Callithrix jacchus: one gene and its partners. The protein of the gene in region 2 purifies or fractionates together with the protein of the main gene of each other region. This does not show direct contact. Links are inferred from orthologs where the notes say so. Each region holds a gene or a part of one and is shown on either strand. Other genes may lie near its edges.

What was found.
Region 1: the proteins of SNRPA1 (region 2) and SF3A3 purify together in Homo sapiens (affinity purification with mass spectrometry; 6 studies listed by BioGRID and IntAct, counting the BioPlex papers as one, with this or other methods). This does not show direct contact. The link is inferred for Callithrix jacchus from reciprocal best matches to the Homo sapiens genes SNRPA1 and SF3A3.
Region 3: the proteins of SNRPA1 (region 2) and DDX46 purify together in Homo sapiens (affinity purification with mass spectrometry; 3 studies listed by BioGRID and IntAct, counting the BioPlex papers as one, with this or other methods). This does not show direct contact. The link is inferred for Callithrix jacchus from reciprocal best matches to the Homo sapiens genes SNRPA1 and DDX46.

The regions. Positions count from the first base shown.
Region 1 is NC_133508.1:74,552,317-74,562,281, forward strand, and holds part of SF3A3 (splicing factor 3A subunit 3), read right to left. Parts: intron 7,175-9,965; coding exon 7,102-7,174; intron 6,677-7,101; coding exon 6,585-6,676; intron 4,623-6,584; coding exon 4,540-4,622; intron 3,856-4,539; coding exon 3,717-3,855; intron 3,003-3,716; coding exon 2,934-3,002; intron 2,539-2,933; coding exon 2,471-2,538; intron 2,306-2,470; coding exon 2,198-2,305; intron 573-2,197; coding exon 503-572; intron 1-502. UniProt on the Homo sapiens protein: Component of the 17S U2 SnRNP complex of the spliceosome, a large ribonucleoprotein complex that removes introns from transcribed pre-mRNAs.
Region 2 is NC_133507.1:8,681,623-8,691,687, reverse strand, and holds the start of SNRPA1 (U2 small nuclear ribonucleoprotein A'), read right to left. Parts: upstream 5,392-10,065; 5' UTR 5,326-5,391; coding exon 5,244-5,325; intron 2,641-5,243; coding exon 2,493-2,640; intron 1,531-2,492; coding exon 1,452-1,530; intron 1-1,451. UniProt on the Homo sapiens protein: Involved in pre-mRNA splicing as component of the spliceosome. Associated with sn-RNP U2, where it contributes to the binding of stem loop IV of U2 snRNA.
Region 3 is NC_133503.1:33,228,625-33,238,589, reverse strand, and holds part of DDX46 (putative ATP-dependent RNA helicase DDX46), read right to left. Parts: intron 9,670-9,965; coding exon 9,520-9,669; intron 5,515-9,519; coding exon 5,338-5,514; intron 4,047-5,337; coding exon 3,828-4,046; intron 2,886-3,827; coding exon 2,741-2,885; intron 1-2,740. UniProt on the Homo sapiens protein: Component of the 17S U2 SnRNP complex of the spliceosome, a large ribonucleoprotein complex that removes introns from transcribed pre-mRNAs.

The DNA of each region.
Region 1 (9,965 bases), on a different chromosome or scaffold from region 2:
CTTTTCTACCCCAAACCACACTTCAGCTCGTCCGGAAATATTGAAGGAGAACATTCACTGCCAGCTTTGTACTATTAATACTCTAGCCCTACTAAGTTTCTCACAACCTTATGAACATGTAAGTCAATGCCTTTTCCTAAGTCATAACTGAAAGGCTGCTGCGAGTAGCATGTTACCTGCCCTTTAAGTGTCTGCTTTGTGGGCCACCCGAGTATTTTCTGAAGCTCAGGCAAAAAGCCTGCACATTCTAGACATTATATTAAGAAGGGACTCTCTTCCCCATGCCTGGTCTTATGGGAATTGGGCAACTTTGGGAGCATCATCTAACAACAGAATACGAACTTACTCAAGAGCCTGGTACCCTGACCTCTATTTTGTGCCATACTAGTTTATTACCTATCCATTACTCTTTTGAACCTAGAGAAAAAAATATCTTCCATGAGTTCCTCGCCATTTAACTCCCATACTTTACACCAATTTTCCGCTTTCAGCAGTCACTTACCCCGAGAATCTCTACGTATTCATAGATTTGGGCTTCTAGAAAAGCAATGTCTTTGTTCCTCTCAGTGTCTCTGAGAAAAAGAAACAAGCCATTATCACTCAAGGATTCTCTCATCCATTGCTTTGCTCCCTATATCTGGGAACAGTTACTGCACACTGCATTAAAAATTATAAACACGAGAAATGACATCCTGTGAAAGCAAATGCTCTGTCATCTCGTGACTCTGACAGAAATATTTCTTAGAATGCATGGAGGCTTCCTCTATGACCTCATCTAGAAGGTGAAAGACATATCAAGAGCACTTAAATTTCCATCATTATAATCTACAAAAAAATGTGATATAGAAGAGCAAGTTCTGCAGTAGATAGACCTGGGCCCAAATCCTGACTCTGCTACTTACAACTATGAGAGAGTGGACACATACCATAACTTTTCTGGGTCCTTATCTGTAAAAACTCAGAATAACAATTACTTTTTAGGGTTGTTGTAAGAATTAGAAAAAAACATGCATTAAGAAAATGGGCCAGGCGCGGTGGCTCATGCTTGTAATCCCAGCACTTTGGGAAGCTGAGGCAGGAGGATCGCTTGAAGTCAGGCACTCATGACCAGCCTGGCCAACATGGTGAAACCCCGTCTCTACTAAAAATACAAAAATTGGGCGGGTGCAACGGCTCATGCCTGTAATCCCAGCACTTTGGAAGGCCAAGGCAGGTAGATTGCCTGAGGTCAGTTCAAAACCAGCCTGGCCAACATGGTGAAACCCTGTCTGTACTAAAAATACAAAAATTAGGTGGGCACAGTGGTTCACACCTGTAATCCCAGCACTTTGGAAGGCCAAGGCAGGTGGATTGCCTGAGGTCAGGAGTTCAAAACCAGCCTGGCCAACATGGTGAAACCCTGTCTCTACTAAAAATACAAAAAATTAGCCAGGCATGGTGGCAGGTGTCTATAATCCCAGCTACTCGGGAGGCTAAGGCAGGAGAATCACTTAAACCTGGGAGGCAGAGGTTGCAATAAGCCAAGACTGTGCTACTGCACTCCAGCCTGGGCAAAAGAGTGAGACTTCATCTCAAAAAAGAAAAAAAAAATCCCTCAGCTGGGTGCAGTGGCTCACACCTATAATCTCAGCACTTTGGGAGGCCAAGGTGGGTGAATCACTTAAGCTCAGGAGATGCAGACCAGCATGGCCAACATGACGAAACCCATCTCTACTAAAAATACAAAAATCAGCCAGGTGTGGTGGTGCACACCTGTAGTCCCAGCTACTCAGGAGGTTGAGCAAGTGAATCCCTTGAACCTGGGAGGTGAACTCCAGTTTGGGTGACAGAGCGAAACTGTGTGTCAAAAAAAAAGAAAAGACCCTGTATAAGTATGCAGCTCAAGAATTAGATTCAACTTTCATTACCAAAAATAAGCTTAGAAAAATATTTTTTGGCTGGGCGCAGTGGCTCACGTCTGTAATCCCAGCACTTTGGGAGGTCGAGGCCGGCAGATTGCGAGGTCAGGAGTTCAAGATCAGCCTGGCCAATATGGTGAAACCCCGTCTCTACTTAAAATACAAAAGAGCAGGCTGAATCTGTCAACCAATAATGGGAATAAAGCAGACTCTAATTTAAAATCTCCACTGTGGTTAAAAATTGTGCATGGGAATGACATTCAAAAGCCACAAAGAGAGGTGCTACCCCAGCCACTCACCGCTTGGTGCCCTTTGACTTGGGATTTTTGGCAAACAAAGAGGTATCAAGTGATTCCAGGGACTTTCCTTTGGTGCTGAATAGTCTCTGGGCTCGCTCTTCTAGGGTCCTAAGGAGACAGAACAGGCAAAGGATTTCAGGGTTACTTTATCACACAGGCTTGCTTATTTTTGCAGTTTGGAGCAACAGAAAAAAATACGTAATCAGAGCTACTTAGAAGACTGTGCAAACACACAGTAAATCAAACAGTTTTGATAGAAAAACCATTCCTTACCCGCCACATTTCAAGCCTAAAGCTAAGAGAGCAGATTTCAATCTGTCCAAACCCAGAGAGGCCAACTCCTGTACAAAGAGAAAAAGTACAATTGAGATTTTTGGGAAACAACAAATGCAGGCCAGTGGGTGGGTGTTCCTGAGGCTGTGGCAGGACCACACATTTCATAGCCGATCTGGCAGTAAGTCTAAACTCTCCAGAGGACTGAGCCTGTAGTCATCTTCAGACTTAAACATACTGGTATTAACTATTACTGTTACTACAGCTTAATGTAGTTAGAGCGATTATTTCAGTTTCCCAAGTAGTTATTTTTTTCTTTTTACCTTGCTACCTTCTTTGTAGATGCTTGATCCCAGGAAAGAGTGCCTTATCACAACACAACCACGGTATTAAAGACAGGAGAGCAAGTGGTCCCTCTGAAAGATAGACAGGGAGAACAGTACTACCGCTGAAGGAAACATACCTCCCAGGAGGAGAATGCGGAGAGGTCAAGATGGGCTCCAGCATGGGTCAGAGCACTGCTTGTCTCTTTCTGGAAAGAAGAACAACATGTTATTTATTAAGGTCCAGGTTTAGGCCGGGCGTGGTGGCTCACAACTGTAATCTCAACACTTTGAGAGGCCAAGGTGGGTGAACTGCTGGAGCTCAGAAGTTAAGAGATCAGCCACAGCAACATGGTGAAACCCCATCTCTACAAAAAAATACATGAATTAGCTGGGTATGGTGGCATGTGCCAACTACTCAGGAGTCTAAAGTGGGAGGATCTCTTGAGTCCAGGCAGTTGAGGCTGCAGCAGTGAGGTATGATTGTGCCACTGCACTCCAGCCTAGGAGCAAGATGGAAAACTTGCTTCCAAAAAACAAAAAAACAAAACAGGTTTAGGATGAAGGTAAAGTTGGTCCACATTCCCTGCCTGGGGAGTTCAGGAAAAACTCAGGTTTATCCCCACAAGCAAGAATACAGATTCCTAACATATGATTGAATAAGCTTTTGGTAAGCAGAAACCACATGGCAGTAATGATATGATTGGCGAAAATCTGGGCACAGTCCAAGGCAAGTGGGCCCTGATAATCTTGCTCCAAAGTACACACAGAAAAACCTAGCATACTCGGCAGGGAATACCTCATGGTCACAAATGATACCAAGGAATTGATACCTAATGCCCTAAAGTGGAAGCTCAAGATAAAGGAAAATAATCAGTTCAATTCCCTGGCATGTCCACCATTCACACCCCACTGTAGCTCACCGGCCATCCAGGAAAGGTCCCATTCTCCCATTTCTTCTCAAACTCAGCCTGAATCTTCCCAAAAAGTTCATTCTGATCTTGGAGAGGCTTCACTCTATCCGTGTAATCCTGAAGGTACTCAAGCAGCATCTCTAGGTATCTACAGAGGAACACGTAACAAAGAGAAAGCAAAAAGGGTTTATATTTTTGGTATCTTGTTATATTCCCTGTAGAATAAATAGTACTTATAATTCTAGTAATAGTATTTTTTAATAATCATTTTTAAATGAACCTATAACGGACTTTTTTCTTGACATATCATTTTGATTCTGACCTTTCCTACCTCCTTTTATTCTCATGAAATAATGCTAATCTCGCACAGAAAATATTTCAGGAAAATGAAAATAAGAAAAAGAGAGAAAGGGTATAAAATCACTAATAAGGGGAGCAACTAACAAAAACATACATTTTTCACTTATACATCATACCCAAGCATCTCACTCCAGTCACAATCTGAGAAAGTCTAATTTTTTTCCCATTAAACTCCAAAAACACAGAAGTCCCAGAGTGGGAGAGTTCCTTCTACAGTGAGACAAAATTAAGAACAGTATGGGCATAAGATAGAAGATATGTCCACAGATACACCCTTGCCCACAACCAGAGTATCTCGAAGGTTTTAAAACCACATCATTTATAATCCTTAGCCTCCAATAAACCTTCATGTATGAAGGAAGTACGCCTTCATGTATGCCTTCCAAGCAACTAATTCGTAACTTCACCCTCAAAACCTTCACACTGTCTTCTAATCAAATCCAGGAGAGGCATAGAAGCTCTTAACACCTACCTCTTATATTCTGCATTCTTCCTTTCTTTAGGAATGTCAAATAATTGGTCAAAAATGGACAGGTATGTGATATAATCCAGCTTCTGAAAAGAGGAAAGAAATGATACAAAATTTAGTTAGGTATTTATACTGGAACAAGTTATAACCTCCTAAGTGAGATCAAAATTGAGTGTTTTCTAACAAGGTAACAAGGGCTGGCCATTTTGGTTTTTTTGCTTTCCCATAATTCAATCCTACTACAATTTGGAGTGTTAATTTCACTGGACCGTAAAATATCAGACATAATTAACTTTACAAAATAAAGTAGGAATATATCAGACATAACTAACTTTACAAAATAAACATATCAGGCAAATATCAGACATAATTAACTTTACAAAATAAAGATCACATTAATAAACAGTAAACTAAAGGAAACATTTGTTGATCATTACCTCATGCTGGGCTCTTGGTTAAAGACTCTAATATCCTAAAGTAAGGTCCTGAAAGTTGCCATTTACTCACACACGTAACCACTTATTGAGCATCTTTGTACCAAGTACAGGGTATAGAAGACAACAAAACAGACAAGGGACCTGACCTGCCCCCATGGAACTTCAAGTTTGGGCACTGTACTTCTGGGACATTTCCTCACAACTCCATGAAGAATCTAATCATGTATTTCCTGGTGACTCTTCTGATATTGTCATATTAAACCTCATCTCTTGTGATAAGCTATGTTTAAACATCTTTAAGAAAAGACATTAATGTGATAAGCTATGTTTAAACATCTTTAAGAAAAGACATTAAATAGCTTTTTGCTGACAGAAAGATCAAGTTGTTTTATCTTCCACGTACCTAAAACAGGAACGTGATAATTATTTTTAAAAATAAGAATTTTAGGCCAGGCACAGTGGCTCACGCCTGTAATCCCAGCACTTTGGGAGGCCAAGGTGGGCGAATCACAAGGTCAAGAGATCGAGACCATCCTGGCCATGGTGAAACCCCGTCTCTACTAAAAATACAAAAAATTAGCCGGGCGTGGTGGCACGCACCTGTGGTCCCAGCTACTCGGGAGGCTGAGGCGGAAAAATCACTTGAACCCAGGCGAAGGTTGCAGTGAGCCAAGATTGACTGCGCCACTGCACTCCAGCCTGGCGCCTGGTGACAGAGGGAAACTCTGTCTCAGAAAAAAAAAAAAAAAAAAAAAAAGAAAGAAAAACAAACAAACCCTATCTCAAAAAAAAAAAAAACAAAACTTGTTGTATTGATAATGGGCTGGGCACAATGGCTCATGCCTGTAATTCCAACACTGTGGGAGGCCGAAAAAGGAGAATCACTTGAGGTGAGGAGTTTGAGACCAGACTGGGCAACACTGCAAAACCCCATCTTTACAAAAAAAAAAAAAAAAAAAAAAAACCTAGCCAAGTGTGGTGGTAGTCTCAGTCTCAATTACTCAGAAGGCTGAGCCCAGAAGTGGAGGTTGCAGTGAGCAAAGATCACACCATTGCATTACAGACTGGACAACATGGTAAGACCCCATCTCAAAATAAAAAAATACTATTTATTGGCCGGGCGTGGTGGCTCAAGCCTGTAATCCCAGCACTTTGGGAGGCCAAGGCAGGTGGATCACTAGGTCAAGAGATCGAGACCATCCTGGTCAACATGATGAAACCCCGTCTCTACTAAAAATCAAAAAATTAGCTGGGCATGGTAGCACGTGCCTGTAATCCCAGCTACTCAGGAGGCTGAGGCGGGAGAATTGCTTGAACCCAGGAGGCTGAGGGTGCGGTGAGCCGAGATCGCGCCATTGTACTCAAGCCTGGGTAACAAGAGCGAAACTCCATCTCAAAAAAAATAAAATAAAAATAAAATTTATTAATAAATGTTTTCACTGTAGAAAATTTTCATTTTGAATAGTATTTCATTATCACCTCTTTGATATTATTTACATAACAGTTTGAAAACACAAGACACTCTACAATGGCTTCACGTCTAGCAGTCCCAGCCTAGTGTCCTGACTTACCTCTAGAATCAGAATCTCTCTCTCCTCTCCCAGGTCTTACCTCAGATGCCTTCAGGTTAATGTACTTGAGGTAACAATCATGGAGATCAAGGTAACGACCATATCCCTCTTCATCTGTGAACTCCACCAAGTCTGAGGGAATCAAATACATCAATGATTCAGATTCTACAGACCACTCTCTTGAACTTACCTTTTCAAATGGACTGCTTGTTCCTAGTTTCTTGAGGCAGCATGTCACCCAAATATCCTCCCTGTGCTCACAATATAACCTCCAATAAGTGAGATCAAAAGTGAGTGTTCTCTTACAAGGTAACATGGGCTGACTCATTTTAGTATTGTGAACTAAAGTGAATAATGCTTGGCTTTCCAAGCCAGTAAATTTTAGGTAGGAGAGAACAAAAGAAACATTTTGCCCAAGACCAATTTAGAATGTCACTCTAGCCCAGAAAGCAGCAAAGACAAAACCAACAAGAAAACCTGGTTATCAATATCTGAGGCCATGGCTGCATGACCTGTAACTGCTGCTGGTGTTGAATGAAATGTTCACCTCTACTCACTTTGTGCCTCTTCACTTGGATTCTCTCGAGCCTTCAGGAGCTCTTCAAATTCCACTGACATTGGCACACAGATCTGAAGGGAAAAGTGAAAGCTCAGGTGGATTTTTCTTTCTTTCTCTTTTTTTTTTTTTGACACAGAGTTTCACTCGTTACCCAGGCTGGAGTGCAATGGCATGATCTTGGCTCACCGCAACCTCCACCTCCTGGGTTCAGGCAATTCTCCTGCCTCAGCCTCCTGAGTAGCTGGGATTACAGGCCCCTGCCACCATGCCCAGCTAATTTTTTGTATTTTTAGTAGAGACGGGGTTTCTCCATGTTGACCAGGATGGTATCAACCTCATGATCCACCCGCCTCAGCCTCCCAAAGTGCTGGGATTACAGGCGTGAGCCACCGCGCCCGGCCCTCATTTTTTTTGTTTTTTGAGATGGACTCTCGCTCTGTTGCCCAGGCTGGAGTGCAGTGGCACAATCTTGGCTTACTGCAGCCTCCATCTCCTGGGTTCAAGCGATTCTCCTGCCTCAGCCACCCAAGTAGCTGAGATTACAGGCACTCCACCACACCTGACTAATTCTTATATTTTTAGTAGAGACAGGTTTTTGCCATGTTGCCCAGGCTGGTCTCAAACTCCTAAGCTCCAGTGATCTGCCTGTCTCAGCCTCCCGAAGTGCTGAGATTACAGGCATGAGCCACCACGCCCAGCCTCAGGTAGAATTTTCAATGTAAAAGTTACAAGATCACAGAAATGAAGTACACAGAAAGTTGGACTTCTGATGCTATATATGGCCTTGATTTTTCACTAAGAGTCTACCCAGAACAGTAGTTCTTCAATTACCTTGTTCTCCCCTCACTTTTATACTGCTTGAGTAAAACTCACTAAAGTAACATATGCTCAGAAAACCTCAAACAATACAAAAAGAAAAAACAAAAGTCCACCTTTATTAATTATCCTCGGAACAGGTAACCACTGTAACAGTTTTTTCTATGCCAGTGATTGCCAAACTTTGCTGCACATTAGCATCACCTGGGGGAGTTTAAAAAAAAAAATCCTGATGCACCCAATACCAATTAAATCAGAGGATGGTTAAGTATCAGTACTTTTTAAAAATCCCCAGGTGACTCAAATATGCACAAAGTTTGGAAACCACTGCTCTATGGATTTAAATATATGTATTTGTACAAGCACATTCATGCCTGCACAGATTTTTATTTTTTACATAAAGACCTGTTTCTGGCACTTGGTATACCTTGGACATCCTTCTAATCAGTCATTCAACCATTTATTCCTCATCACCTTTTGACCATGGCTGGAATAAGGTTAACACAACAGAATGGTATTTATCTATTCTCTCTTGGTTAGCAGAAGACCTCACATTCTATCCTTCAATGGGGCTATGTGCATGAGGGTGCCTTCATTTACCTCTGCACTACAATAAATAGCCTCTTTTTTTTTTTTTTTTGCTATATTTAATATCTTCCTTTTTCCCTGTGCTCCTTCAAACATGTATGCTTTTTTGTTTTTTTTGAGATGAAGTCTCACTCCGTCTCCAGGCTGGAGTACTGTGGAATGATTACTGCAATCTCCACCTCCCGAGTTCAAGCGATTCTCCTGCCTCAGCCTCCCAAGTAGCTGGGACTACAGACGTGTCGCACCACGCTCAGCTAATTTTTTCTATTTTTAGTAGAGATGGGGTTTCACCATGTTAGCCAGGATGGTCTTGAACAACTGACCTCAGGTGATCCACCCACCTCAGCCTCCCAAAGTGCTGGGATTACAGGCATGAGGCACTGCTTCCGGCCCCTACCAGCCTTTCCAATGCACATTCCACATTCCATACCTCTACTTCTCCATTACCCATCTTTACCTTGTGACCAGATTTCTATTCCTACTACTTGAATTAAATAGCCATCCTGGAAGTTATCAATCGGTAACCATGACTGCCTTTCTGAATCTCTCTTTTGACAACACCTGGAGCAGTGATGAAGGTCTTCCCAGGCCCTTTTTTTATGACCCACCTTATTACAAGTGAGCTCCAAGGCATATGGAGAGGCTCTGACAGACTCCCTTCACATTCTCTTGCCTCAGAACTCAAGGATTTATCAACCAACAAATCAATGTGATGATTCCCAATTCTAAATCATAAGCCTTTACTTCTTGTGTGGCGGTAACTGCTCAAGAGACATTTCTATTCCTAGATATACCTCTATTTAAAAATTTACATATATAAAAACTTATTTCTTATGGCAAATGGGTTACCTCCTTATTCCTTTTCTTTTCTTTCTTTCTTTTTTTTTTGAGACACAGTTTCATTCTTGTTGCCCAGGCTGGAGTACAATGGCGTGATCTTGGCTCACTGCCTCAGCCCCCTGAGTAACTGGGGTTACAGGCAACTGCCACCATGCCCAGCTAAGTTTTGTATTTTTAGTAGAAATGGGGTTGCACCATGTTGGCCATGGCTAGTCTTGAACTCCTGACTTCAGGTGATCCACCTGCCTCAGCCTCCCAAAGTGCTGGGATTACAGGTATGAGCCACCATGGCTAGCCTTTTATTTCTATCAAGAGAACAAACAACTTTCTAGTTATAGTCACAAAAACTCAGAATAATCTTTTGACTCATCCTTCTCCACCCTCCCTGCAGCCATATCTTGCCCCATTGACCCCTTTGGTCAGCTGTGTAAAGTGCCGTGTGGGTTCTAGATAATTGAGACATAAATCCTGCTCTTTACATTACGGTATGGCAGGGCAGACATTTATTGTCATAAAATACATTAGGGGCCGGGTATAGGGGTGCACATCTGTAATCCCAACATTTTGGGAGGCCAAGTCAGGCAGATCATTTGAGATCAGGAGTTCCAGACCAGCCTG
Region 2 (10,065 bases):
TCGACAATCAGGGCAATAAGGAAGGTTAGGTCATAAACCAAAATTAAGTTTACAGTTTTTTTGAGCTGAGGTCTCATTCTCTTGCCCTGACTGGAGTGCAGTCGCATGATCACGGCTCACTGCAGCTTTGACTGCTGGGGCTCAAGCGATCCTCCCACCTCAGCCTCTGGAGTACCTGGGACCACAGATACACACTGCCACATCTGCCTAATTTTTTTGGAGGGGGATGGAATCTCCCTGTTACCCAGGCTGGAGTGCGGTAGTGCGAATTCAGCTCACTGCAACCTCCTCCTCCTGGGTTCAAGCGATTCTCCTGTCTCAGCCTCCCGAGAAGCTGGGATTACAGGCGCCCACCACCACACCCAGCTAATTTTTGTATTTTTAGTTGAGACAGGGTTTCACCATACTGGCCAGGCTGGTTTCGAACTCCTGACCTCAGGTGATACGCCCACCTCAGCCCCCACAAAGTGCTGGGATTACAGGCATGAACCCCTGCGCCCAGCCTTTTTTTTTTTTTTTTTTTTTAATTACTCATAGAAAAGAGGTCTCACCATGTTGCCCAGGCTGGTCTAGAACTCCTGGGCTAAACTGATCCTCCCACCTTGGCCTCCTGAAGTGCTTAGATTACAGGCAGGAGGCATGGCACTTGGCCTACAACATGAATTTAAACGTCCAGTGTTTAAGTGAAAATTTAGGTTACAATACAATATACAGTATGTCAGTTACGTTAAAAATTAGATACTAAGAGCAGAAATTTTAACAGTATATAAATAAATAGGTCAAAATAATCATATCCACATAGTGCAGGGGACACCTGCCCCAAGTTCCAAGGGGACGGTTCATCTGAAGAAGAGTAAAGCAAGGTTTCTAGACCAGAGCTGTTCAACAAGATCTCATGCACACACACGTCATCTAAACTTTTCTAGTAGCCATGTTAAAATAAGCAGGCGAAGCCGATTTTAGTAATATGCCATTTAAGCCATTATCCAAAACATTATCATTTCAACATCGATATAAAGACGTTACTGAGTTTCCTTTTCTTTGCACTTAAGTCTTTGAAATCCAGCGTGTGTTCTCTAGCTCTAGCACATCTCAGTTTGAGTTACTGGACACTGCAATTCCAGCAAATGACATAGGACTTTATGGCCCTGGGTTAGGGGAAGCTTAAACATCAAAACTGCTACAATAAAGGAAAAGATTGATAAACTGAACTGTACCTAAATTAGGAACTTTTCTAACAAGACATCCCAAGTCAAAAGATAAGTAACAGTAGGAAAATATTTGCAACATACAGTTGCAGAACCCAAAAGGCCCAGATCCTGACTTAGGAAAAAGGTAAAAAAGAGGAGATTATTTTCTGTGAGATTTTCTAGAATTTGTAAATTTCTGTAGGAAGCACATAGTACCTTTAACTCCACCCACCAAATACATTTTCCTTCTATGCAGCTTACCAGTTCGACGAGACTATTATTGGTGAGAATGAGTTCTGTCAGACAGGGCAGAGCCTGATCCAGTCCCTCACCTATACGGCTAAAATAAAAAGAGAGTCTTAGCAAAAATGAAAATTAAATAAGCTAACAATTTCATCTACCTCCCTACTCAGAGAATCTGAGAGACACTTACAGATCCTTCTTCCAACACCCTGATGAAGAGGAAACAAGGCAAAAAGAAGAACCCTTTTCTGAGGACACAGGGTCAGTGACAGAAGTGGGACGAACCCAGGCCTACGGGACACTGCCTGGAGCTAATGCTGCCGCCCCATCTAGCGGAACCTGAGAAAAGGTGCAACTCTGGGCGGCACAAACTGCTTAACTCTCTTCATGACTTTTTGTGCAGGCAGCAGAGAAATGCAAATTATTCTGCATTCACAGCTCAGGTACAAGACACAGCAACTACACTACAGGGGAATAATGAACCTATGAAAAAGATTTCTATCTGAAGGAAATCCCACTCACCACCCAGCACTTTTAAAGACAGTATCTATAAACCGAGTGCTTTTTTTTCCAATAAAGTTTACACAGAGCTGATGAAGGCAGGGCCAAAAAAGACCCCAATTTCAGTAATTAACAGTCTAGAAATTAGCTGCAGTTAAAAAAAAATATCAGAGAAGCTCAGTCAAAAATATAATCGTTACTTTTCTATATCCTTTTACTATGACCCCTTTGATAAGTGTTTTAGAAGCCAAAATGTGTACAAAGCACCATGTTTTTAATTTAAATTAGAAACTTACCACGAAAACAAAAACACATGATTTCGGAATAGACACAAGTAAGACTAGACTAACGCCAGGTTAATCTCTGCATCTCTAAAGGAAAAGTTCATTTCTCATTTTAAGAAGAAACATGTATTGAACATGGCTCCCATTATGGAAAAAATATAAAAACTAAAAAAAAAGAAACACATAGGTTTAACTGGTAGTATGTGCTGCAACTTCAGGGAACACTGCAACATTTACCGCAGGTGGAAAATTACTTTCCCCAGCAGACCCTTACCATATTCTGTTGTTGTTCACTAACAATGTTTTTAGTCTTCTCAGCAAAGGAAAGCCATCCAGTTTCCTGATCTCATTGTCAGAAAAATCAATCGCATCAAACTGGTCTAGCGTAGCACCTAGATTTTCAATGACGGGAATTTTATACCCTGTAAAATGGAGGAAAAAAAACACACAAGAGGTATTAATATAACTAAACAGCCTCTTAAAAGATGAGCAGTATTTCACAGGAATCAGACTCCAGGCCTTGATTCACTCAGGAAGTATTACTTACCTAGCACCTACGCCATGTTTCCTACGCCTTGCCACTGCACAAGGTACTAGAGATAAAATGCTGAATGAGGGTGGCAAGTCCCCAGTGCCATGAAGCTTACAGTCTGATGACAACAGGGACAAGGACAGTAATGATAGGTGAGATAGTTAGCTAACATTTATAAGACCATTTACAAGGTGCACACTGTTCTACGTCTTCAGGGCTAGTTAGGCGGAAGCAGCACAACAGGAATTTACCACTTCGGGCTGCTCAGTTTCAGTGCCCAAACAAGGTTCCAACACCGTGGACAACAGTTCTCCACCTCTTGCACCCCCACAGGCCAGATTCTTAGAACCCATCAGAACAGCCTCAAGATGACAGTTCTCCCTTCTCTCCCCCAGCTCCAATTCACAGTTGGAGGTCAATGGTTTACATACTTAATTTGTCTAAGTTGGGCATTATTATGTTAGGAGCTAAAAGAAATATTCCAAAGAAACAAGGTCTATTTAAAAAAAAAAAAAAACTCAGCCAAAGTTAAAGTACACAACTCAGGGCTGTACTACAAGTACTGCATCAAAAGAAGTATTCTCAACACTGCACGCACTCCACAGAGAGAAATGGCAGAGATCACCGTAAGTGATGATTTGCTCTTGAACTGAACCTTTCTCTAAGAAACTTAAATTCAACAAAATAAAAATACTGGGCCAGACGCGGTGGTTCAAGCCTGTAATCCCATCACTTTAGGATGCCGAGGTGGGTGGATCGTCTAAGGTCCGGAGTTCGAGATCAACCTGACCAACATGGAGAAACCCTGTCTCTACTAAAAATATAAAGTTAGCCGGACGTGATGGCACATGCCTGTAATCCCAGCTACTCGGGGGAGGCGGGGAGGGCTGAGGCAGAAGAATCGCTTGAACCCAGGAGGGGGAGGTTGCATTGAGCCAAGATTGTGCCATTGCACTCCAGCCTGGGCAACAAGAGCAAAACTCAGACAAAAAAAAAAAAAAAAAGGAAAGAAGAAAGAAAGAAAGAGAGAGAGAGAAAGAAAGAAAGAAAAAACTGGGGGCTGGGCGCGGTGGTTCACGTCTGTAATCCCAGCGCTTTGGGAGTCCAACGGGGGCAGATCACTTGAGGTCAAGAATTCAAGACCTGCCTGACCAACATGGTGAAACCCCATCTCTACTAAAAATACAAAAATCAGCCAGGCGCAGTGGTACATGCCTGAAATCCCAGCTACCCGGGAGGCGGAGGCACAAGAATCACTTGAACCAGGGACGCAGAGTTTACAGTGAGCCGAGATCACACCACTGCACTCCAGCAAAGGGGAAAGAACAAGACTTCATCTCAACGCAACACAACACAACACAAAACAATGCGATTCCCCAAAGGTCAGCAAGAAATCAAAGCAAATCCCGAGACCATAGGTCCCCGTGGGAATCTCAGGCTACGACTGCACTGCCGTACCCCAGAGAAGTTGCTCTTCACATTCTTTCTAAAGCGGTCTCCTGAAATGCCAACTAGCTAACTGCCCTCCCAATTTCTTACCAAGTCTTACTAAGGTTGAAATAGTACAGGAATCTAAATAATTGTGAGCGCTTCCGCAACTTACACACAGCACCCGGCGGTGGAAGCCTGGGTGAAACAGTTCAATCTTTAAAACGTCTTCACGAAGGGGAAACGCCAAACAATTAAAGCTACTAAGTAGAAAATACTGGGGTAGCCGGGCGCGGTGGCTCACGCCTGTAATCCCAGCACTTTGGGAGGCCGAGGCGGGAGGATCACGAGGTCAAGAAATCGAGACCATCCTGGTCAACATGGTGAAACCCCGTCTCTACTAAAAATCAAAAAATTAGCTGGGCATGGTGGCGCGTGCCTGTAATCCCAGCGACTCAGGAGGCTGAGGCAGGAGAATTGCTTGAACGCAGGAGGCGGAGGTTGCGGTGAGCCGAGATGGCGCCATTGCACTCCAGCCTGTGTAACAAGAGCAAAACTCCGTCTCAAAAAGAAAGAAAGAAAGAAAATACTGGGGTAAACAATCGCTTTTGTTCGGGGACTTAGTTTCTTCCATCACATTAAGAATAATGAAGACATATCCTATCTACACTCACAATATCATCTGGCGGCAAGTACTGAGAACCAATCACTCGCCCTGCACTAGGGTTACCACCGTTAATGAGTCGCTCTTCCCGGCCCTCAGAGTCCGCTACGAAACAGCCAAGCAAGGCCTAACAGAGCCCCACGAGCATGCAGCAGGGAGTAATGAAATCACCCGTGCTTCTCAGGAGGCACAGCAGTAACAGAAGGCTCCCAAGAGCCTAACGGGACGCGCGCTTGGCAACAACGGCAAGAATCAGGCAGGGCGGTCTCGGCGCAGCCCGATCCGGGTCTAGATTACCCACCCGCGGGCCAAGCTCCGGCCTTCGGTGCACGCGGCGGAGCGCGGATCGTAAGGCGGCGCAGTGCCGCCCTGGGACTGCCCGCCCGCGCCCCCGGACTCACCTCGGAGGTCCAGCTCCCGGTCGCGCACCGCATTGGTGTATTGGGCCGCCTGCTCGATCAACTCCGCCGTCAGCTTGACCATTCTGCCGCCTCTGGCTTCCCAGCGTAGCCGAAAGGACGCTGCCTCCTGCGTCCCAACGTGCCCCGCGCCGCGCCGCGCCGCCAGGCAGCACCAATCGCATCCGCCGAGTGCGCGCGCAGCTCGACCGCCAGGCCGAAGCAATCGAAGAGCCACGCCCCCGGGGTTGTTCTGGCCCCAAGTCCTGGCGCGCGCGCTGGGGACGTGTTTGTTTCTGGGTTCTTTCCTGGGGTGTATCTGGAGTCTGATGGACCTCAGATTCCAGACGTTGGTGTTTAAAAGTTAAGGCGAATGTGGAAACACCCGAGGGGAACTTTCTCATGCACTAGCTCACCTTGAGGTGGGAGGGGAAGCTGTGATTGTCCCCAGCAGGCGCGGGGACCCGTGGGCTTCAGTGAAGGGTCGACGAGTTCAGGTACCTGTCCCGAGCCTAGACCTTGGCCCCAGGCTACAGCGTGAGCTCCCGGGCTAGGTGACCCGCCCGGGGCAGGTCGCTGGGACAACTCCACCGCCCCGCCAGTGCAACCCGGTCGCGGGCACGGTAGGGTTTGCCGTTAGGTTTGCGGCCTTTAGACTTCTGAATATTCATATAAAGTATGATATACAGAAAAGTGTGCAAATCAGGTGTTTACAGCGTGACTAATGACCAGAGTGAACACAACTGCATAGCCGACGCCGGGATCCAAAAAAAACCCACTGTTTTGAAAACCTCCCTCTTCGCAAAGGCAACCGCAAACTCAACACCACAGACTCGTTTTAGAAATTCCATTTGACCCAGCAATCCCGTTACTGGGTATATACCCAAAGGATTATAAATCATTCTGTTATAAAGACACATGCACACGTATGTTCATAGCGGCACTATTTACAATAGCAAAGACCTGGAAGCAACCCAAATGCCCATCAGTGATAGACTGGACAAGGAAAATGTGGCATATATGCACCATGGAATACTATGCAGCCATAAAAAACGATGAGTTCTCATCTTTCATAGGGACATGGATGAATCTGGAAACCATCATTCTCAGCAAAGGACACAAGAACAGAAAATCAAACACCGAATGTTCTAACTCTCATTGAACAATGATAACATGGACACAGGGAGGGGAGCATCACACACTGGGGTCTGTGGTGGGGACAAGAGAGGGACAGCGGGGAGTGGGGGCAGGTCGGGGAGGGATAACATGGGGAGGAATGCCAGATGTAGGTGATGGGGTGGGGGAGGATGGAGGCAGCAAACCACTTTGCCATGTGTGTACCTACCCAACAATCATGTATGATCAGCACATGTACCCCAGAAACCTAAAGTATAATTAAAAAAAAAAAGTAAAAAAAATTTGGAAAAAACTAAAAAATAACAATAAAAAATATAAATTTTTAAAACTGAAAAAATAAATAGAATCCCACAGTATCCTTTTTTTTTTTTTTTTTTTTTTTTTTTTGGCCTAGTTTCTTTGCGTCTATGTTATGTCTGGAGTCCATCCAAGTTACATACAGAGATGGTTTGTTTGCTTGCACTGCTGAAGAAAATTCCATTGTATATATTATACTGTAATTTTCAATTACTTATTCTGCTGTTGATGGACATCAAGGTTGTTTTCAGTTTAGGGCTATTCTGAGTAATGTTGCTGTAAATTTTCGGGTATGTGGATGAGTTTCTCCTGGAGTGGAATTGCTGGGACTTAGGGTGTGATATGTATCATCCATAAGTAATGCCCAACAGTCATGCTAAGAGGCTGAAATACACACTCCCTCCGCGTGTAAGGGTTTTCATGGCTTCCAGCTTCAGCCGTGTCGGCATTTTAAGTGTCTCACTTTAGTCGTTCTCATGGGTGTGTGGGGTTACTGCTCTACTGCTTTTCTTTTCTTTTCTCTAATAACTAATGAAGCTGAGAACCTTTCATGTGTATGTTGCCCATTCTGATAGCTTCCTTTGTTAAGTGCCTTTTCAAGTCCCTTACTCAGTTTTTTCCTTACGGAGTTGTCTGCCTTTTTTCTTACTGATGTGGGGAATTTCTTTATAAAGGATATGAACACGCTCTGTGGCTTGCCTTTCCACTCTTAATGGTATTGTTTGATGATTAGAATTTTTTTTTTCTTTTGAGTCACAGTCTCGCTCTGTCACCTGGGCTGGCGTGCAGTGGTGCCATCAGGACTCTCTGCAGCCTCGACCTCTCAGGCTCAATCAGGACTCACTGCAGCCTCGACCTCTCAGGCTCAAGAGATCCTCCCACCTCAGCCTCCTGAATAGCCAGGACTACAGGCACAGGTCAACAGTCCTGGTTAATTTTTGTATTTTTTGTAGAGATGAGGTTTCAGCATGTTGTCCAGGCTGGTCTCCAACTCCTGAGCTCAAGTGATCCACTTGCCTACAGGCATGAGCCACCACCCCCGGCTGAGAAGTTTCCGATTTTTATGTAGTTCGATTATTTTCTTTACGTCAATGGGTTGGGTGTGCGTACACATGCATGTGCCTTACGAAATCTTTCCTTACCCCCATCATATTTTCCTATGTGACCTACTAGAAGATTGTTTTGCCTTTCACATTTAGTTCTATAATCCACCTTGACTTGATTCTTCTTGAGTTTTTTTTGTTTTGTTTTGTTTTGTTTTTTTGAGACGGAGTTTCACTCTTGTTACCCAGGCTGGAGTGCAATGGTGAGATCTCGGCTCACCGCAACCTCTGCCGCCTGGGTTCAGGCAATTCTCCTGCCTCAGCCTCCCCAGTAGCTGGGATTGCAGGCAAGTGCCTCTATGCCCAGCTAATTTTTTGTACTTTTTTTAGTAGAGATGGGGTTTCACCATGTTGACCAGGATGGTCTCGATCTCTTGACCTCGTGATCCACCCGCCTCGGCCTCCCAAAGTGCTGGGATTACAGGCTTGAGCCACCGCGCCCGGCCTCTCTTCTTGAGTTTTTATTGAAGTATGATATACACAGAGAAAAGTGCAAACTGAACAGACTCAAGCAAATAACATCCTCATAAGAACAGGACATTGTCGCGTTTTAGAAGCCCTCCTCCCGTCTTAGTCTAGCCACCACCCTTGCCCCAAGGGTAACTATTAGCCTGACATCTTGTATAGATTTGCTTTGCCTCATTTTGTATTTATGCAAACGAAGTACCTTACATATATTTTGCTTAACATTGTGTTTGTGTGTAGATATAGTTCATTTATTCTCACTGTAATATAGTAGTTAATTGTGGATGTTTTACAATTTACTTATCCATTCTGCTGTTGATTAGCATTTGGTTAATTTTTACTTTGGACCTTTTGTGTTATAAATAGTATACCTACAAACATTATAATGCATGTCTTTGAACACATATACTGATATATACCCAGGGATGGAATTACTGGGTCATAGGGTTTACTTATGTTCAGCTTAAGTAGAACATAAGTTTTCCAAAGTGGTTGTACCAACTTAAACTCCTTGCTAACATTTAGTATTGTCTGTCTTTTTAATCTTAGCCATTCTGGTAGATTGGTAATGGTATGACATTGTGGTTTTAATTGTATTTCCCTGATTACTAACATAGTTGAGAACTTTAAAAAATATATTTATGTTCATTTGAATAACCTCTTTATTGAAATGTTTGTTTAGGTGTTTTGCCCGTTTTTCTATTGGGCTTTTTAAAAAAATGGATTTGTAGGAGCTCTTTATATTTTTTAGATAGGAATCTTTGTGAGATATGTCTGTGGTGAATATCTTCCCCTGTGGCTTGTGTTTTCACTCTCTCTTTTTTTTGAGACAGAGTTTCGCTTTTGTCACCAAGGCTGGAGTGCAATGGCGTGATCTCCGCTCACTGCAACCTCCGCCTCCTGGGTTCTGGCAATTCTCCTGCCTCAGCCTCCTGAGTAGCTGGGATTACAGGCACGCACCACCATGCCCAGCTAATTTTTTGTATTTTTAGTAGAGACGGGGTTTCACCATGTTGACCAGGATGGTCTTGATCTCTTGACATTGTGATCCACCTGCCTCGGCCTCCCAAAGTGCTGGGATTACAGGTGTGAAATCATTAGTTTTAATATATTAAAATACAATAGAGTTTTGTGTGTCGGCATTATATCCCGAGATCTTGTGAAATTTACTTATTAATTCTAATAGTTTATCTGTAACCATTCTTGTGGATTTTCTACATACATAACCATGCTATTTGAGAATAATGATAGTTGGCTCGGTGCAGTGGCTCATGCCTGTAATTCCAGCACCTTGGGAGGCTGAGGCAGGCGGATCACATGAGGTCAAGAAGTTCCAGACCAGCCTGGCCAACCTGGTGAAACCCTGTCTCTACTAAAAATACAAAAATCAGCCAGGTATGGTGGCACATACCTGTAATCCCAGCTACTGGGGAGGCTGAGGCATGCGACTCACTTGAACATAGGAGGTGGAGGTTGCAGTGAGCAGAGATCACACCACTGTACTCCAGCCTGGGCGACAGAGCAAGATTCCATCTCAAAAAAAAAAAAAAAGAGAGAGAGAGAATAATGATAGTTTTATTCCCACCTTTCCAATTCTTACACCAGTTCTTTATTTTTTGCTCTGTTATACTGGCTGGGATCTTCAGCACAACGCTGAACAGTGGTGGTAGTGGATATGCTTTGGCAGGCATCACTTCACAGCCAAGCAAAAAACCCTAATCAGGCCAGGTGCGGTGGCTCACACCTGTAATCCCAGCACTTTGGGAGGCCGAAACAGGCGGATCATGAAGTCACGAGATCAAGACCATCCTGGCCAATGTGGT
Region 3 (9,965 bases), on a different chromosome or scaffold from region 2:
AAATCAAGGTATTAGGCTGGGTGCAGTGGCTCACACCTGTAATCCAAGCACTTTGGAGGCCAAGGCGGGTGCATCACCTGAGGTCGGGAGCTCAAGACCAGCCTGACCAACACGGTGAAACCCCTTCTTTATAACAAAAAAAAAAAAAAAAGAAATCAAGGTATTAGACTTATTAGACTAAGATTTTAAATCAACTATTTTAAATACATGCAAATAGCTAAAGAAAGCCACAGATAAAGAACTAAAGAAAACCAGGACAATGATGTCCAATTAAATAGATAATATTATCAATAAAGAGATAGAAATAAAGAAACTTTGTCATGGAAATGAAAAATTCATTAAAAGAGTTCAGCAGCAGATTTGATGAGACCAAAGAAAGAATGACTAAGCTTGAAGGTAGGTCAACTGTAATCAAATCAGAGAATGCAGGAAAAAAATAAGTAATGAAGAAAAATGAATAAAGCTTAAGAGACCTGTAAGACATCATCAATTTCAACAACATATGCACAATGTGAGTTTCAGAGGAGATACAAAGGGGCAGAAAGAACAGCTGAAGAATTAACAAAAATCCCCAAATTTGATGAAAAATATGTATATATGCATACCCAAAAATCTAAAACAAAACCCAAAAACCCTCTAGGAGACCCACACAGAAGCACAAAATAAAACTATCAAAAGACATCAGTAGCCACACATGAAAAAGAATAGAGACTACTAAATTCTGGAAAAGCAACCTATCACTTATTACAAGGGATCCTCAATGAGATTAACATCAGATTTCTTTTCAGAATTCATGGAGGCCAGAAGGCAATGGAATGACATTCAAAGCACCAAAGGGAAAACAAAACAAAACTATCAAGCAAGAATTCTATGGCTAGAAAAGTATTCTTCCAAAATGAAGGCAAAAAAGAATTTTTTAAAGGTGAAATTGGCCAGGTGCGGTGGCTCACACCTGTAATACCAGCACTTTGGGAGGCCGAGGTGGGTGAATCACGAGGTCAGGAGATCGAGACCATCCCGGCCAGCATGGTGAAAGACCATCTCTACTAAAAATACAAAAAAAAAAAACAACCCAAATTGGTGGCATGCGCCTGTAGTCCCAGCTACTCAGGAAGCTGAGGCAAGAGAATTGCTTGAACCCGGGAGGCGGAGGTTGCAGTGAGCTGAGTTTGTGCCACTGCAATCCAGCCTGGCAAAAGAGAGAGACACTTGTCTCAACAACAACAACAACAACAACAAAAAAGATGTTAATTGCAATCCACTGGGTAACCACTAAGAAAATACCTGGCTAGGCGCAGTGGCTCATACCTGTAAGCCCAGCACTTTGGATGGCCAAGGTGGGTAGATGACCTGAGGTCAGGAGTTCAAGACCAGTCTGGCCAACATGGTGAAACCCCGTGTCTAATAAAAATACAAAAATTAGCCAGGTGTGGTGGTGTGCACCTGTAATCCCAGCTACTTGGGAGGCCAAGACAGGAGAACCGCTTGAACCCAGGAGGCAAAGGTTGCAGTGAGCCGAGATTGCGTCACTGCACTCCAGCTCTGGGCGACAGAGCAAGACTCAGTCTCAGGGAAAACAAAAAGTGTGACAGGGTATCCTACTATGCAACGGAGTAACACATCAGAAAAAATAAAATAGGCTGGGTGCATTGGCTCATGCCTGTAATCTTAACACTTTGGGAGGCTGAGCAGAGGCAGTTCACTTGAGCTCAGGAATTGAAAACCAGCCTGGGCAACATAACAAAACCCCTTCTCTACAAAAAATACAAAAAAATTAGCTAGGTGTGGTAACACGGCCCTGTAGTCTTAGTTGGAAGTGCTCAGGTAAGAGGATCACTTGAGCCCTGGAGGTTAAGGCTGAAGTGAGCTGAGACTGCACCACTGCACTCCAGCCTGAGTGAAAAAATAATTAAAAGTGGAAATTGCCTCTGGAATAAATTCATTCATAAATGTATGAAATAAAGTTAAGAACCGGCCAGGTATGATGGCTCACACCTGTAATCCCAGCACTTTGGGAGGCTGAGGCCGGTGGATTAAAGGTCAGGAGTTTGTGAGACCAGCCTGGCCAATATGGTAAAACCCCATCTCTACTAAAAATACAAAAATTAGCCAGGCATGGTGGCAGGCGCCTGCAGTCCCATCTACTCGGGAGGCTGAGGAAGAAAAATTGCTTGAACCTGGAAGGGAGAAGTTGCAGTGAGCCAAAATAGTGCCACAGCACTCCAGCCTGGGCAACAGAGCAAGACTCCATCTCAAAAAAAAAAAAAAAAGAAAAACCTGATTGCTGTTAGATAATGTAATAATGTATTATTTGTATCCATTAGATTATGGCGTTAATTGTCTACTTGTTATTTTGTTAAAGGTATAAACTTTCATGAGCATAATTTCACAGGCAATATTTGCCTAGATAAACATTCATTAAGTGGATTAATATAGTTGATTTACATTCCAACCTAAACTTAGGCCAGAATATACCTAAGCATAAAAAGGTCAGTCCTCAAAATGTTGTTTTAATTTTCAAATTTGATTTGTCAAAACTGAGTCTCACAAACAGATCATTTACTTTTACATACGTACTGAATTTCTAAATAAAGACCTCAAATGACATGAAATTTTTTTGTCAGAGGCGTTCCTTACTTTCAGTTCTCTCTAGAATTGACCTCACATTCTCTCTGTGTCTATTACATCTACATCAACCTTGATCTAAACTGAAGACTGAAACAGAACCAACAGCACATACTTTCAATTGCCAAGTAAATCTTCCGCTCGCCCTCCTTGGGTTCTTTGCCAGGAGGGAAATATGTTCCTCTGATTGTAATTGCAGCTTCAGAGTATTCACTGATTCTCTGTAGAGCTTCCTTAGAGGTAACTTTCCACCTAGCAGTCTAAAAGAAAAGGTAAGGAAAACAAAAATCACTTCACAACAAGACAAAAAAACCCAGGAGTGCTAACAAAGACTAGGCTGACTGATATCACATTATGGTCAATATATATATATATTTTTTGGAAACAGAGTTTCGCTCTTGTTGTTGAGGCAGTGAGATCTTGGTTCACCACAACCTACACCTCCAGGTTCAAGTGATTCTCCTGCCTCAGCCTCCCGAGTAGCAGGGATTACAGGCATGTGCCACCACGCTCAGCTATTTTTTTTTTTTTTTTTTGTAGAGACGGGGTTTCACCATGTTAGTCAGGCTGGTCTCGAACTCCCGACCTCAGGTGATCCATCCACCTCAGCCTCCCAAAGTGCTGGGATTACAAGTGTGAGCCACCGCGCTTTGCCCTATGGTCAATATTAAGATCATTCTTGGATAGGCGTGGTGGCATGATGTTGTGGCTCATTCCTGTAATCCCAGCACTCTGGGAGGCCAAGACAGGAAGATCACCTGAGGTCGGGAGTTCGAGACCAGCCTGAACAACATGGAGAAACCCCATCTCTACTAAAAATACAAAAAAAATTAGACTGGTGTTGTGGCACATGCCTGTAATCCCAGCTACTCGGGAGGCTGAGGCAGGAGAATCACTTGAATCCAGGAGGCAGAGGTTGAAGTGAGCCAAGATCACACCACTGCACTCCAGCCTGGGCAATAAGAGCGAAACTCCGTCTCAAAAAAACAAAAACAAAACAAAGATCATTATTAACACATACCTGCATAAGTTCATTTAGATCCTAAGGTACACTGAACATATTCATAAAAGTCAAATTTCTATTGTTACATCCTCCATTTAGGTAAAAAGTGAAGTAGCTATTAAAATATTCATGGGTTTTAAAGATGAGATTTTTGCTTTTTCTGCTTCACAATAAAAAAAGGTTTAAAACTGTTACTTGCCTGTGGGAAGTCATTGATCTCTAATTCTTCTTCATATCTCTTAAAAGATTCATTCTGTCCACCATCCTGTCTCTCTTCTTCTTGTTTCTCTAAAGGCACATAATTGAGCTTGGCATTGATCTTTTCAGCAAGTTGTTCTGCAATGGTTTTTGCAGACACCGTGGGAGCCAGAATGGTGCCACCTCTAAGAATTGCATTGGTGGCCTGTTGCATCACATCCTGTAGTTAGAGAAGACTTACAGTTAAATCTCAAATGAGGGCAGAGACAAGAGTAGGGAACCCACCACAAATTATTCTCTGAAAAGCTACTAACTTTTATGCAAGTTTAATAAATAAACACTTCTAATGCATAGCCCCACTGACATGTGATTTAGCAATACATAATTATAACATAGTTTAATGTTTTTCCCTGTGAATAAAAAAACTGGAAAATATTCAACTCTCTATTATATATTCTACTAGATCATAGAGATGCAGCTGATAATTAACTAACTCTTGATGTCAGATACAGTAAATATTTCCAGAATCATTTACATACTTGGTAACTCCTAGGAGTTTCCTCCAAATTTGAAAGTTTATACTACTACCATCACTGAGTTCCTTCCTCCCCATGACCCAACCCAGCATTAAAAATGTGATAATGACTGACTCAAAAGCTTCAAAATAACAAATACGCTTCCAAGAAAGAGGTATCATGAAATATGTAAAAATTACATTTCTCCATTTAAGCCCATGTTAATTTGAGTCATTTAACTAGGTGTTTGTACATCCAGGGAGTTGTATGCCCAATAACCCAATGAAAGCTTATAAAGAAACAGAATTATTCATACATCTTAACGGTTTTGTTAAGACCCATCAGAATACTACTCTATAAAACTACCTATGGCTAATAGTTAGAAAGTCTAGAACAGGCATAAAGTCCTCAGTTAATAGCACTAGAAAAATCATCCAAATACAATTATAAAAAAAAATCCTATGTTGAGAATGTTAAATTCTCACAAACTCAATGTCCAGGACAACTTGTTTACTTGTGCTCAACATAATCCTTGAAAAATAAAATCAAAGAACTTATTAAAAGTTTTAGCTTGGTGCAGTGCCTCACACCTGTACTCCCAGCACTTTGGGAGGCTGAGGTGAATGGATCACCTGAAGTCGGTAGTTCGAGACCAGCCTGACCAACATGGAGAAACCCCATTGCTACTAAAAATACAAAATTAGCTGGGTATGGTGACACATGCCTATAATCCCAGCTATTCGGGAGGCTGAGGCAGGAGAATCACTTGACCCCAGGAGGCAGAGGTTGTGGTGAGCCGAGATCATGCCATTGCACTCCAGCCTAGGCAACAAGAGCAAAACTCAGTCTCAAAAAAAAGAGTATTGACTGAGACTTGGAACAAATTACTTAATACCTGAGAGCACACCATTGTACTCCTGGCCTGGGCAACAAGAGCAATACTCTGTCTCAAAAAAAAAAAAATGTATTGACTGAGACTTGGAACAAATTACTTAATACCTGAGACTCGATGCCCAAATTCTTCTGAGCATTGATTCTAAGAGCCAATCTCTTAGCAATTTCTAATTTCTCAGCATTTCCTGCAGTTGGAGCAGGAACACTTGATGTTCCAGGGGCAGCCATATCCTTTACTCTCTTCTTTGAATTAAACATGCTTTCAATTTGCTCATCAATCTAGATCAAAAGCAAAAAAAGGACAAGTAAAAAAACTGAATTAGAAATACCAAATTAGGTTATTCTACAGAAATAAATAAGGAATGTTTCCACCAACAGGCTGGAAATATTTATGCAAATCCTACTACGTAGATCAATGGGAAAATATACCACCTATTTGTTAAAAGTCACATGTCTCATTTCAAATATCAGTTGTCTATGGTGGGAAAAAAAACAGAAACAGAGAAACAACACTGCATGAACCACTTCATCAGACTCCTGAGAGGCCCAGAAACTACATCCCTGTTCAATAAATGAGGAAACATGTGCTGTCAAGACAGAACAGCAAATATGATGCAGCTGAGTTGCCCCAGGGCTCAAGCCTTGAGACCAAATTATACTGCAATGAAAGAGGCTGGAAAAAGGGCTATAACTCAAGGTCAGTGGCCAACTAAAAATACAGTCAATAATTCTCAAGGGGAATAGTATAACACGTTCCTAAGGCAAAGCTCTCAAAACTCTTCCTAACCCATAAAATGCAATTGGATTTGCCTTGAAAACTGGGTAACTGAACCAGAAAAGGCTTATTCCCTTATTCCTTTGAATCAAGAAAGGAAATAAATGCAGGTTGTTTCCCCATCAAGGCAAGTGCAATGATGAAAGCTTTGTTTTGACAGAAGTCACATGAATGCTACTGCTATGTACATTTCTTTTTTAAAAAAATGCCTTTTGCCCAACAATGACTACTGATATCACTGACTATAGAAATACAAGCCCCTTCAGAAATTTACATTAGATTAATAAAGCTGTATCTTCTAGATCTCAAATGCACAGAAGTTTCTTTAGGGCTTAAAACTTAATTAGGTTAATTTACAAAAGTCTTTTACAGAAATAAAAACAGTCCATTTAACTTTTTGATTTTTTTGAAACAGGGTAGCCTCTAACTCCCAGGCTCAAGGGATCCTCACACCTCGGCCTCCCGAGTAGCTGGGACCACAGCATGCACTACCACGTCCAGCTAATTTTTAAAAAACTTTTCATAGAGACAAGGTCTCCTTGTCTAGGAGAGTATTGAGCTCCTGGGCTCAAGCTATCCTCTCACCTTGGCCGTCCAAAGTGTTGGGATTATAGGACATCACACCCAGCCTTAGATTCTTCCTAAAACATTCACTACCTATTAAGGGGTTTTAGTTATGGCCAGGCACAGTGGCTCACTCCTATAACCCCAGCACTTTGGGAGTCCAAGGCAGGAGTATTACCTGAGCCAGGAGTTTGAGACCAGTGTGGGCAACATGGCAAAATCTCATCTCTACAAAAAATATAAAAGTTAGCCAGGTATGGTGGCACACGCCTATAGTCCCAGATACTCAGAAGCCTAAGGTGGAGAATCACCTGAGCCCAGGAGGTTGAGGTTACAGTGAGCCAAGATCACACCATTGCACTCTAGCCTGACTGACAGAGAGACCTTGTCTCATAAAAAGAAAACAAAACAAAAAACCAACAGGGGGTCAGTTTATCAACTACTTTTAAAACTCAACATTTACCTGAGTAAAACTGTTTTAAATTAAATAGGATGCATGGTATTACAATCTGAACAAATTCATAAAATCAGGAATGGGGGAAGTATACAATGCTAGCTGATAGAGCTAAACTTACTTTTGATTTTATTCATGTTAAGTACTGTTCATTTTTCATAAAATTACATATTACTTTAACACCCAAAGAAACAATCACCATATTTTATCACGAGATTTCTTTTAAAAAATGTTAAAAGTACAGCAGTCTTCCCTTATTCACATGGAATATACTCCAAGAACCCCAGTGGATGCCTAAAAACACAAATAGTGTCACGCAGACATACATTGTTTTTTCCTATACATACATAACTATGATAAAGTTTAATTTATAAATTACGTACAATAAGAGACTAACAATAATAAAATAGGACAACTGTAACAATATACTGTAATAAAAGTTATATGAATGTGGTCTCTCTCTCTCAAAATACTGTAATAGTTTCAGACCGTGATTAACCTATGGCAACAAAAACCACAGATAAGGGGAAACTACCATAATATCGAGAAGTGACAGATGTTTTTAAAACATGGCTACAAATTCATAGTCTTTTTTCCTGAGTGTGGGCTGGATTTAAGGACTTCCTTCTAATACAATGGCTGGGCATGGTGGCTCATGTCTGTAATGCCATCACTTTGGTAGGCTGAGGCAAGAGAACCATTTGCGGCCAGGAGTATGAGACCAGCCTAGGCAATATAGTGAGACCTCCACTCTACATAAAAACATTTTTAAATATATATTAACAAGGCATGATGGTACACCTATAGTACCAACTATTCGGGAGGCTGAAGTGGGAAGACTGCTTGAACCCAGGAGGCAGAGGCTGCAGTGTGCTTAGTTTGCGCCACTGCACTCCAGCCTGGGTGACAGAGCCAGACTCTGTTTCCAAAACAAAACAAAAACCCACAAATAATAAAGTGGAAGTGACAGTGTGTAATTTCAGAGACTAGTCATAAAAAACACTAAAGCTTTCTCTTTGCTCTCTCTCCTGGATCGCTCACTGTGGGGAAAGCCAGCTGCCATGTGGATAAGGAGAGGCAAAGAGGTGAAAAACTGAGGCATCCAGTAAACATCAGAGTGAATGAGCCATCTTGGAAGCAGATCATCCAGCAACAGCCAAGCCTGCAGATGACTGCAATCTCATGACAGCCTAAGCCAGAACTACCTGGCTAAACTGCTGCTGATTTCCTGACCCTCAGGTACTATGATAATAAATGTGTATTGCTTTAACCTGCTAAGTTTTGATTTGTTTCATGGCAACAGATAAATTTAAAAATAACTTTACTGGCCAGGCGCAGCAGCTCACACCTATAATCCCAGCACTCTGGGAGGCCAAGGCAGGTAGATCACCTGAGGTCAGGAGTTTCAGACCAGCCTGGCTAACAGGGTGAAACCCTATCTCTACATCTCTATCTAAAAATGCAAAACCCCACCTCTACGTCTCTATCTAAAACTATAAAAATCAGCCAGGTGTGGTGGCAGGGGCACCTGTAATCCCAGCTACTCAGAAGGCTGAAGCAGGAGAATTGCTTGAACCCTGGAGATGGAGGATGCAGTGAGCCAAGATCATGCCACTGTACACAAGCCTGGGCAACAGAGCGAGATTCCGTCTCAAAAAATAAAATAAAAATAAAAATAAAAAAACAAATACTTTATTACATTTTGAGCTAGTATGGTATCCTAGAAATAAATGGTTTAGGGTTAATGGAACACCTGGGTTCCGGTCCTGACTCTGTGTATTCTACTATGGTCCTGGACCTAACATCTTTTCTTGGAGTCAATTTTCTGATGATAAGATCAGATTGAATTCCTGATTTCCAACCATGTTTTCTGAGCTTAAGTTTAGTGTGTTATGTCAAAAAATGTTCTGTGATCAGATACGCTGGGGAATTTCTGGGTTTAACTAACAAAGTTAAACAAGCTTCCTTACAGACTTTTCATATCCACAGCCGGGTGCGGTGGCTCACACATGTAATCCCAGTACTTTGGGAGGCCGAGAAGGGTGGATGGCTTGAGGTTGGGAGTTTGAGACCAACCTCACCAAGACAGTGAAACCCCGTCTCTACTGAAAATACAAAAATTAGACAGGTGTAGTGGTGGATGCCTGTAATCCCAGCTACTCAGGAGGCTGAGGCAAGAGAATTGCTTGAACCTGGGAAGTGGAGGTTATAGTGAGCTGAGATTACGCCACTGCACTCCAGGCTGGGTGACAGAGTGAGACTCCAGATCAAAAAAAATTTTTTTCACATCCTTTGATGTGCTAATGAGTGGTCTACATATCAAGAGGAGGAGTACTGGTATGTACTAGGCAGATTTTCCAAAACTATTCTAGAACCATCCTCTCCCAAAGAAGGTTTCCAATGATTAGTTATCTTGACAAGCATATGACAAGACCTCCAGTACAAAAGAAACAATCACTTCAATTAAGAATGAAAGAATAACCGAACTTACATCAACTGCAGCATCCTCATCATCTGAATCTTGCAGACCAAGAGCTGCTTTTTGTAACTTCTTCCTCTCATTAGCCAAAGCTTGTTCTGTTTCATCAAACTTGAATCCCTTACCAGAGAACCCACTACTCTTTTTAATTATTTTCCCTTCCTTTCAAAAACAGAAAACAAAGCAAGTTAATCTCATGGTAAAAAACTTTAATGTTTAGGAATTCATACTAATAAGATATTTTTCAAGGTGGTGTATGGCAGTGTAATAAACACTTCATCCAGCATGTAAGATAAACTAAGAGCTCTACATAGACATCACAAAATACTAAGTTCAAGCAAAAGACAGAATGGCTTTCACTTCTTTTCCCCTCTCTTAAGAGAGAAATAAAAATAGTCCTATCAAAATTTCCAAGTATTAAATATAAAAAAAGATTTCCAAGAATGAAATAATCAAGG